3 linked regions of the Caenorhabditis elegans genome follow. The protein of the gene in region 1 interacts with the protein of each later gene in a biochemical or structural test. Each region holds a gene or a part of one and is shown in the gene's direction. Other genes may lie near its edges.

Region 1 (3,758 bases):
TGCAATAAAGAAAAAAGGTATATCTTCCTGAACTTCCGCGTAGCTCAAAACTTGTGAATATTGTAAAAATCTACACAAGTACCGAAATATCAAAACATTGTACTTTTGACATATTAGAACGCATATGAACGGTTTTAATTGTTTTTTGTTGTAAGAACCACCCTTCTGACTATCTTTCCTTTTGATCAAAGCAATTGAAATAAAGGAATAATAATAAGCTACCTTAACATATAATCTACGAACTGTAGAAAATTCCAGAACTTTAGAGAACTGTTTAGAAACTGAACTTTAACGAAATGTAAGTTTTCTAATAACCATGAAAAACCTGTTTTCTTAACAGAAAAAAGTAACACAATCGGAAACTTCATGTATTTTCTTCAACTAGGTTTTTTTCGTTTCTTCTCTTCTGAATTTATCTTTGATGTTTCTTCTCTTCTGAATTTAACTTTTTTGAAATTAGTATAAGTAAATGTGATAAGTTGTCCAACCCCTTCTCTGAGAACTGTCCAATATTTATACGTTATTTCACAAAATAGGTATAAAATATTGAATATGAAATCAAAAAAACTACCTAAAATGTGAAACAAACTGCTCAAAAAAGAAGAATCGAGAATGTGTTTCAATACTAATAGTGAAAATAAAATGAAACATAAAAAATTAATTTGATGTGTGTTTACCACCGATCCATTTTGTTTCTAATGAAGATGTGTTTCGTTTCTGTAAAATTAAATTTACCGTTTTCAAAAACCGAATTTTTAGTTTTTTCTAGTCTTAATGTTTTATTATCGTTGCTTCGTTAATGTTTTCTGCACCTATTCAAACTTGATGCTGCATAATTCACAACAACCACGTTGAAAAAGTCGTTACATGTATTTTTGAAAATACTTACTTCTTAGACAGCCAATTCAGTTTTTTCCAGTTCTTCCACTGAGCTATTTTTTTCAAAAAACATATGTCTGCCCGCATACTTGGATACTTTCCTGTATGCAATTTTTCTGAGGTCTCAGAAATCGGACACTCATCCGCTTTTCTTTTCAGCGGCTAATCTGTTGATAACACGATGAACGTTTATATTTGTGAAACGATTTCGAAAAATTGTGCAAGATTATCTATGACGGCCTTCACTGGAATTTGGATATCCGTTCATATGTTTTGAGTCATTTTCAAACTAAATTTTTTAATTTTTAATTTAATTTCGAATTCACTCGAAAAATTTTGAAATGTTTTCGTCTTTTTTTAATATATTCCCAAAACAACAGCCACATTAAAAAAATTATAATTTCTTTGTTATACTGTTCATTTTTTAAGTGTTGAAAAATGCTATTAAAACTCCCCCTTCCCGCCATAATTTTCTATTTCAAAAATCATTTGCTCTGGGAACTTTTTGATATATTTATGACTTTGACTGGTTCATATGAGTTGGTTCACTGCAGTTTTTTGCTAAACATAATTTTTAGTTACGATAGTTTGGAGTTTTTTTCCCGGGTAGCAGCTGTTCCATTTAATTCATTCCAAGTTTGCAGATGGAAATGTTTTTTCTTGTGTTCAAATTTCATTCAATTCGAAAGTGCTGTCAGGAATTCCCACATGACGGGAGCCTGGTGAACACAGCCAAGTTCAACGGTTTTACGATCAAATCTGCGATATCTTACAGCAGAATTTGATTCATTTCATCGTCTATCCTCCAATCTTCGGACTTCAAAAAGTAATTTATTGTGATGAGTCCCACACGTTCTGAGGTTTCCGCAAGTGTTGAAAGACGCCAAAGTGAAATGAAAACAGCTAAAATAAGCGATGACCTCTGAGATTTTTGAAACTTTCGTTTTGCCTGCTGGACTTTTAAGCCCCGCCCACATTTTTTGTTCTCCTCCCACATTTGTTCCATACCGCTTCTTCAAGTGCCTTGTTCTTTAGAAAAAGTGGCTTGTTCGTTTTCAAGATTTTACAGGAAAACAGGAAGAGTTGATTGAAGTTCAAGTATCATCAATTTTTCAAACTCAATCAAAATTCTTGTTTTTCACATCTTGTTTTCCTTTTTTCAGATCATTCGTCGTCTCACCTTTTTGTGGAATCTGTGCAACATGAGCACGGAAAGGCTGATGTATCTCGATTTAAATAAAGGGTAAGTGTTGAGTTTTTGTTTTTGTTTATTTAATGGAGATTTGATGTCGTTTTGACTGGTTTGATTGATATAAAAAATTTTCTCAGGTCTGAAATTTAGAATTTTTTTTTCAAGTTTTTCAATGTTTCAAAATTGTTCTAAAGAATGAACGCAGAGTACGGCCACAGGGGAAATGACTCAAATTTTTCATGTGGTTCTTAAATTACTAAATATCATAATAAAACATAATAAAAATTTTTTGAATTTTTATTTCGATTTGAAAATAGTGAAAACTTTATGCCACTTTTAAAGATATCTTAAGCACTATGGCATTAACCCTTTTCTATGTTAGAATGGGAAATTCTTAAAAACTAAATGACCAAAAGTTGCAACTAAACAGTCGAATAATGTTCAGAATTCACTCAAATTTTTGTGAGCTTGGGTGAATTGCCAAATTTACAAAAATGTGGATTACTTAAGTTATTTCCAGCGCTGTCCCTAAAAGTGTTTGAATACGGTTAATTTAAAAAAAAGTCCAATGAAAAAATTAGCCTACTATGTACGTCTCTAAAATCTCATAATAATAACCAAAACTCTCTGAATCTGAAGCAGTTAAAAAACTTAATTTTTCCTGAAGCTTATATTCACAAAACTAAAACTATAGTTTCTGAGAATATAACTACATTTATTCCGTTTTACTCAACTAATGAGCCAGCTTCCGAACTCATTCCCTACAGGTTTTACGTCACTTTCAATCTACACAATTACTTGCTTTGTGAGCATTTACCAAAAACAAAACTTAAAATCAGAGACTAAAGATACGAACCATACCTAATTCATTCTTGTCAACAAAAACTATCACAACCACAAACTTTAAAAATTTCAACTACGAAGCCTCTACTTCTCTCATCGTTTTATCCACATTCACCATACCCCTTACTCCGGTTGCGGTCGGACACAGGAAAAAGTTGAACAAAAAGAGAACATAGCCGCAGATGGGGGTTCAATTCATCAATTAGATCTCTGCCACTTTTTCTTTCGTTTCCGAATCTGTCTCACATTCTGAAATAACTAAAGACGCTGAAAATGATGAGGCGATGTAAAAGCTTGCGGTACGTTTTTTTTGTGTGTTTCTCTGTGAAATGGTTTTTTGGTTTTTGAAAAACTATCGTTAAAAAAAAAAGAAAAAAAAAGGAAAAAACCAGCTTTGGTATTCGAAAAAAAAACGAAGATTCTGTGATGTGAAAAGGAGTTCACCATGAATTCCTGATCAAGACTTTTTAGTCCATGTTCCTCTCGCCTCTAAAGCTATTTCCTTTTTTCTTATCTTTTTGTTCAGCTTGCAAAAAGTCGAAGATCCGAACCAAATCGTTTTCGAATTTTTAATTTAGAACTATGAAATTTATTTTTGGAATGAGGAAGGAATTTGAGCAATGCTTTTATTTAAAGGTTTTCTGGTCTTTTGTATAAGTCTCCCCCAACGACTTTCGGATGCACATATTGGTTTCCTGTAGAGTTGGAATATGTCAATTAGCTGCACTTTTCTTTTTTAGAAAACAAATGAAATGAGGATCAATATTGGATTTTTTATTAAAATTTGAGTGGAAATCGAAAAAAATGGTTGAGAAAAAAATTGGTTCATTGGGAAAGACTCTTG
Region 2 (3,480 bases), on another chromosome or scaffold:
TTACACGTCTCCAAACACACACCGTCACCTTCTACTCCTTCTTCCAAATAGCTGAAGACGATGAAGAATCCTGTTCCGTCTCGATGTCTGGGCGTCCTCTACACCTGTATGCACTCTCTCTCTTCACACACACGAAAAAGGGAAAAGCGCCCTGTAAAAAAAGGGAGAAGGAAGACAGAGAAAGGGACGAAAAAAGTGAGAATGATTGAAATCTATCCTATCTCTCCCCCTTATACCGTCTAATCACTCTGTAGAAGCTTTTGGGCAGACGGGACGAGACGCATACTCAAAAAAACAGGTAGTTTGTGTATCGGCGCAGTGATATGATTGAATAGCTTATTATTAGATTATCGAGATTGTCATAACAAGGAAAGGGCGCTATTGCCTAGCAACACGCCTGCATTCAGTCTTCCTACCTGCCTGCCTACCTGAATCATACCTACATCTGCCTATGTGCCTGCATGCCTGCCTACCTACCTCCCTGCATACCTACTCACGTGCCTTCATCATGCCTGCAACATGCCTACATCTGCCTACGTGCCTGCATCCTGGCTTGCTCTTTCTACGTATCTGCCTGCACATTTACATGCTTGCCTACCCGCCTACCTGTCTTTTTTATGCTTACCAACCTCCGATCCTGCCTGGCTGCCTACCTACCTGCCTACCCACGTGCCTTCATCATGCCTGTAACATACCTACATCTGCCTACGTGCCTGCATCCTGGCTTGCTCTTCCTACGTATCTGCCTGCAGATTTACATGCCTGCTTATGTGTCTTTATTATGCCTGCCAGCTTACGAGCCTGCCTACCTGCCTATCTGCCTACCCACGTTACGTCATCATGCCTACAACATACCTAAATCTGCCTACGTGCCTGAATTATGGCTTGTTCTCCCTACGTATATGCCTGCATATTTACATGTCTACCTACCTGCCTGCCTACCTACCTGCCTGCTTACCTACTCACGTGCCTTCATAATACCCGCAACATACCTACTCTGCGTACACATCTACCAATCTGCCTACCCACGTGACTTCAGCATGCCTGCAACATACCTACATCTGCCTACGTGCCTGCATCCTGGCTAACTCTTCCTACGCGTCTGCCTGCCTGCCTACCTGTCTACCTCCCTACCAGCCTAACTAGTTACCTACCTACCCACGTGCCTTCATCATGACTGCAACATACCTACATCTGCTTACATACCCACATGCCTGCCTACCCCCGTGACTTCTCATGCCTGCAACATCCGCCTACGTGCCTGCATCTTTATTATGCCTGGCAGCCTACTATCCTGCCTACCTACCTGCCTACCTGCCTAACTGCCTACTTGCCTACCTGCCTACCTGCCTACGTTGTCGAACTTTTACATATTTCTAGTCCCCGTAATTTTCTTCTACCTCTCACTATTTTTTCCTGAAAGCGAACATTTTTGTATTCTTTTCAGAAAAAAGTAGTACACAGACGTACATGGCGTACTACAAAATGCAACAATTTGTGATCACAAATTACAAAAAAAAAACATTGGGAGTAGGAACGGAGAAATAAAAGAAGATAGGAGATGATTAATTACTCTTGATTTGATTGTTGGTTACCTGGTTTAACAGGTAAATTATGACGTAACGTGTGTGGCCTAGAAATTCTGCAGTTTTCTAGGCCACGAGGTATGGTGTCAATTTTGCTCCAATTTAATGGAAAAATCACAAATTTTTGGTATTTTCCGTGACCCTCACCCCTTCCCCCTACTCAAAAATATTATAAAAATTAAAAAAAAATCCCACGTCTCTAATCAATTTTCCCAAATTTCTCCATTTTCTCATTCATTTCCTGATAATGTCCACCTCCACTCAGCGACCACCGGCGCCAACTTCTGGCTGTTAGTTTGAAACGCGCTCTACCGCACTGGTAGTGCGGTAGAGCGCGTTTGCATATTTGTACCTCCATTTTTGCAGCATCATCGACGCCATGGACCAAAGTAGTGATATTCATAATTATTGGCATTCTCATTGTAGCCTTCATCGTGTTCGCCGCCGCTTCCATTGTGAAATATGTGAGTTAAAGGCCTAGAAAAATTTGAAATTCTGTTGGTGGCCTAGAAAATGTGTTATTTGCTTTTGTTGGTGGCCTAGCAAAAATCGCGGTCATAGAAAACTGTTGGTGGCCTAGAAAAGTTTTAGGTGGCCTAGGAAAATTTCTATATGGCCTAGAACTGTCTGTGATGGCCTAGAAAATTCCGACATGGCTAAATATATGTCTGGTGGCCTAGAAAATCGCTTGATTGCCTAGAAACTCTAATTTTCAGATAAAAAGCAAGAAGCAACAAAAGCAGCCAAAGAAGAAAACAAAAAAGAGCACAAAATCGCGGAGCAAGAGTTTGAAGAGCAAACAGTCTGCAGTAACCCCAAAAAAAAGAGCATCTCCAATTCCACCTCAGCCAGCTCCGCCATCATCTCCCAAACCAACTGAAGAATCTGCGACACCATCCTCCTCATTTGCTCCGTCAACTGAGCCAACACCGACAGTTCCAGACAAGGTTGATGATGGCTCCGAGGACACGGAGCACAAAGAGCAAGAGCAACAGACTGTTCTGTGCACTTATGGCAATGGATGGAAGTCTAAGAATCAGGTTTTTAAAAAATGCAGATTTGTTTTTTTTTTCAACAACTTTAGAACATTTTTCAGCCTCCCCACGACTTCTCCTTCTCAATCGAATCTGAATAATGCCAACAATGTAAAAGCTCCCCGTGTCACCTGAAAAGTCTCCAAAATCAACCTCATTTCTTTCGTTTCTACTGGTTTTTATTGCAATAAACTTGGGTTGGAATTGCTTTCTCGGGGGGCGGCGCGCGACTTGGTGGCTTATATTTTCGCTAGTTTTCAAGATATTAAAAAAATTTTAACCACAAAATTGTAGAAAAAGCATTGGAGAACAGTTTTTCAGTTGGCCATTTTTTGATAGAGCAAAATGTAACCGAGATATAAGCTCTCGAAGCTAAGAGGTAAATATTGGTCGATGCACCATGTACCGAGGCAGGCGTAGGTTGCCTTGAATGTAGGCTTTGTCACATGCCTATCTTAAACCTGTTGGGCAAAAAGTGGAAGTTAAAAACACTTTTTGCTCATTTTCAGAAAATCTTAATCATGTTTTAATTATATTTTTGTTAATTAGGAAAAATAATATATGTAGGCTACCTTGTAGGCAGGTAGGCAGGTAGGCTCGAATATTGATGAACAATTTTATCAAACATTGAAAATAAATATCTTGGACATCACCATCGCCTTTGTTCCGATTACTTCGTTTGTCCATTCACCGGCATTGTTCAGATCAATGTTGCGTGTTTCATCGTACTGCCTGAAAATATTCATTTTTTTGAAAACAGAAATGCCTGCCCTAGAGCTTGCATATAGGCGCCAAAACGCCTGACAACTGCCTCGGGCCGCGCCTTCTGTACAGTGCGGCGTGGAAACCGTAAAGTGTCG
Region 3 (3,758 bases), on another chromosome or scaffold:
ACAGGGATTCAACACGTTAACCTGAAACATTGTATTCATTTTAAATCGGGCATTGGTCTAGTTTGAATTTGAAGTGTTAAACATCAACTTTGAACAGTTAGATAGTGACTCTAGAGCAACGAGCGCCCGATACGAAACATTATCAAAGAAACGTATATTTCAGAACTAGAAACATAGCAAATTCATGCTTTACCAACTGCTTAATTCGCTTTCCTTCCTTTCAATTTTTCGCACATTCGCGTGCCTGTCAACTGCCTGATAGGCTTTCTGCCTTCTTTCTATAACCCCCATCATGCCACACACGCATTTTGTGTGGCATGATGGGGGCTATAGAAAGATCCGAAAAAAATGTCCAAAAACTACACAAACACCGCGGTTGAGATCACTTTTTTTCGCTTCCAATTGGGTTACAGTGAATTCTGTGGAATATATCAAGATATTGAAAACCAAATTGCCATTTTAAGTTTTAAAAATTTAAAATGGATACATTGTCAACTTAAGCATAAAGGATCGTTGGCTGGCAAGGAAGAAAAATCACAAAATTTGGGGGAGCTTACTTTTTTGACTTTATAAATTTTCACCAAATGTCACTTCCGTCACCGGTAACCAATCACAAAAAAATTTTCATGAAATGTTTTTTAGAAACAAGGATACTTTTATTATATAATAATGAAAATAAATCATTGGATAAATCTCATTTAAAAATCTCAATTAAGCTAAATTGAGCCTACTTGCGCGCCACGGTCGACTGGGTTTTTGAGTTTCTTGAGGTCTGTGCGGCTGTAGGTAAATGTTAAGTTTTATATGTCATTATGTTCGATTTTTTCTATTCAATAAAATGTATATATTAACTTGTTTTGATCGCTGTCCAAGAAAAAGTTACAGTTCCGTAAAGTGGTCGCCATAATTATGGACCACCCAGTAGTTATCTGAATCAGTTGATTAGTTTCCCTTCTTTTCGAAACTTTGATAATTTCTGGTAGAGCAGAGTCAACCAAATGAACATCATATAAATACAAATATTTATTCAGTTGATAGTTTTTTGGTGTATCATTTCACTAAAAAGAGCTATGACTTGATGGGTGATTACATATGAATATATGTAAGAACAAATAGTAGAACAGTGTAGGTAATGGTTTCGAGTTTGATGTTTTTTCGTTATTCTCCAAATCAGGAAAGTGTGAATAAAGTCATTACTGGTTTGAACTGGTCTTGAACTCTTTAAGTGGCTCTTGAAGTGGATCTCGGTTCAAATTTTGACTTTGTCACACACTAGTGAAAAGTACATTAGTAAATGAGTCTCTCAGTAAAAGCCAACTTTTGGCAATTTCCGATGGCGACAGTTTTTATTTTGGTATACATCAAACACAAACACTTTAATCCCTTCTTTCTCCATACTCTATACTTCCATTCAATGTCCTCTCCGATGATAATAAAAAACATGTGAGTATGTCTGCGTCTCTTCCAGAATCTGCGCACACAAATATGTGCTGCTATGGAAATGCATGAAAATCAAGGGAGGAAAGCAGTCTTCGAGAGCAGTGGCGCCAGGGCTCGTTTGTGCACCACGTCGTCTTCTTCTCATCGATTAGTGTGTGACACCTACTACAACTCATCATATTTCTGAAAGTTCATTTGACCTAATCATTTGTTTCACTTTCTGTCTGATCGTTTTAATTGATTAGTTTTTGGCGTTATTAACTCTGACTGACAGTACTCTAATCTTTCCATGCACAAAAATATCAGTCCCACGTGCCAAGAAGGCATTCGAGAAGCATGCATCACTTTGAAAAATGCTTGTGATCCCCAGTGAGTTTTGATATTTTGTGACAATTAATCGGGGAAAAAAGACAAACAAAAAGTCAAACTTTGGTATGAAAATCTCTTAATGAAAAGTGGCAATTTTCAGAGTACTTGACAAGGCTGCAATCCGAATGAGAGAGTACGAAAATGAGTTCGGTCGAATACTTTATACAATATCAATTTTAATAATGTTCTCATTTGTCATTATTCTCCTAATGGTACGATCAATTCGGAGAACACAATCAACAGTTGAGGTACGTTTGGAATTTCACAGTAGACAATCGAACTGTATGAAATTGTATGAAATTAGAGAGGACCGTAGGTTTTTGTATGTTGTTTGAAAACAAAAACCCGGTCAAATCAGAAGTTTTGTTACAAAATTTTAATAAATGTAGAAATTTTGAAAAAATGCTAATAACTTCAGTATTAAGCTACATGAAGTTCTCTATATTTCAGATGGATTCGCTCCTTGATGCTATGCGAATTCGAGAAGAATTAGAAATACAGGAACGTAAAAGAAGACGATTGATGAGAGCAAAAACCCAGGTATATTTATGAAAATACATCGAAAAAAAATTAATTCAAAGTTGTAGGTGACTGCATGGCTCGTGAACAAAAACAAAGAGAAAGGACCAGAAAAGCGAAAAGATAGCGAATGGAAGCCACTTCCAAATGGAACAAGACCAAGAGGACATTACAGGTAATTAGCAGAATTTTTTAGAGAAGTTATAATCAGGGAAACTAAAGAATTAACAGAAATGGTTTTCTATTTGCTTTTATATAACCTTTAATGAATAATTATAATTACAGCATATCAACAGTCACATCAGACATTCCGGAGATTGTAGTAAGTGCTGACGACTGCATACATTCTGATTTTCCAAATCGTCCACATACTCCTGCAATCTCAATGATTTACGATTTTGGAATTGCGTCACCGGATTTAATAGAGCCCGATAGGTGAGAAAAGATGAAAACAGATTAGTAGCCAAATATGAGACACTACTAAAAAATGGCTTTTTGGTGGTTTTTATAATATTCTAGCGGTGAAACGTTTATGAAAAATGTCGAAAGTCTTATTTATAAATGCAAAATAACAACACAATCGTATTGAATTTGACCACACCGGCGTTCTAATAGATGAAACTTAAAAATGAAACATTTCATACAATAACAAAACATATTTCAGCAAATTCAAACGAAACCTCAAAGAATAATATATTTCAGCCGTAAGCCATCAATTTCCTCTTCAACAGCAATTCCCATGTCATCTTCGTCATCTTCATCAATGAATTCATTGATTGAACCAAATATGAATTCAATAAAATCAAATCCTCGAACATATTCGCTTGACACAAACGCCTCCACGTCATCGAGAACTCCTCGTGTTGATTGTGACGATAAATCATTTAGCTTAGACGTGTAATTTTGTTCTCATTTTTATATGCATTACTTATTTATCTTCACCATCTTCATTATTTTGTCCTGTGATCGTCAAATCGATTCGATTTTCAATCAACTTGTCGTATATTTACACTGCTTATGTACATTGGATGATGACTAACAGTAATTCTTTTTTTCTGGTTAAAATTGAAAAAAAGAGAAATGAAGTATTTTAGAAACCGATAAAGAAAATGCTTATTTCAAACCACCGACTCAAGAGGCAATATCGAGACCGCTTGTCATTGATGGATGCAACATTGGAAGAAGTGCCTCTGGATATGCTAGAACGTGGGTTGTCCAGAATATTTTCTCAATTCAATGCTTCCAATCATTACAAACTTCTGATATTGTTGAAAATTGCTTGTTTTCAGTCCACTCATTAAAATTTCGATGATTTTGAGCAAGCTCTTTTGAGCAAGCAATCTTAATGCCCCACCTTGGTTTTTGACGCCAACTTATGTCATAAGTTTGATCTAAAAACAGCAGTTTGGTTCAGAAATTGGCAAATATTT

The links.
Region 2: of the proteins of kvs-1 (region 1) and mps-3, one has a biochemical effect on the other in vitro, tested with the Caenorhabditis elegans proteins (one study listed by BioGRID).
Region 3: of the proteins of kvs-1 (region 1) and mps-1, one has a biochemical effect on the other in vitro, tested with the Caenorhabditis elegans proteins (2 studies listed by BioGRID, with this or other methods).

Annotation. Positions count from the first base shown.
Region 1 is NC_003284.9:7,705,410-7,709,167, reverse strand, and holds the start of kvs-1 (BTB domain-containing protein), read left to right. Parts: upstream 1-2,036; 5' UTR 2,037-2,081; coding exon 2,082-2,122; intron 2,123-3,068; exon of another isoform or gene 3,069-3,209; intron 3,210-3,758.
Region 2 is NC_003279.8:760,190-763,669, reverse strand, and holds mps-3 (MiRP K channel accessory Subunit), read left to right. Parts: upstream 1-1,820; 5' UTR 1,821-1,833; coding exon 1,834-1,876; intron 1,877-1,952; coding exon 1,953-2,050; intron 2,051-2,302; coding exon 2,303-2,626; intron 2,627-2,682; coding exon 2,683-2,721; 3' UTR 2,722-2,822; downstream 2,823-3,480. Other genes in the region: Y18H1A.8 (TransThyretin-Related family domain), read right to left, coding at 3,241-3,352.
Region 3 is NC_003280.10:6,292,123-6,295,880, reverse strand, and holds mps-1 (MiRP K channel accessory Subunit), read left to right. Parts: upstream 1-1,519; 5' UTR 1,520-1,729; coding exon 1,730-1,809; intron 1,810-1,909; coding exon 1,910-2,057; intron 2,058-2,259; coding exon 2,260-2,349; intron 2,350-2,396; coding exon 2,397-2,503; intron 2,504-2,613; coding exon 2,614-2,763; intron 2,764-3,030; coding exon 3,031-3,229; 3' UTR 3,230-3,356; coding exon of another isoform or gene 3,357-3,369; 3' UTR 3,370-3,422; downstream 3,423-3,758. Other genes in the region: nyn-3 (RNase NYN domain-containing protein), read left to right, coding at 3,357-3,369, 3,423-3,534.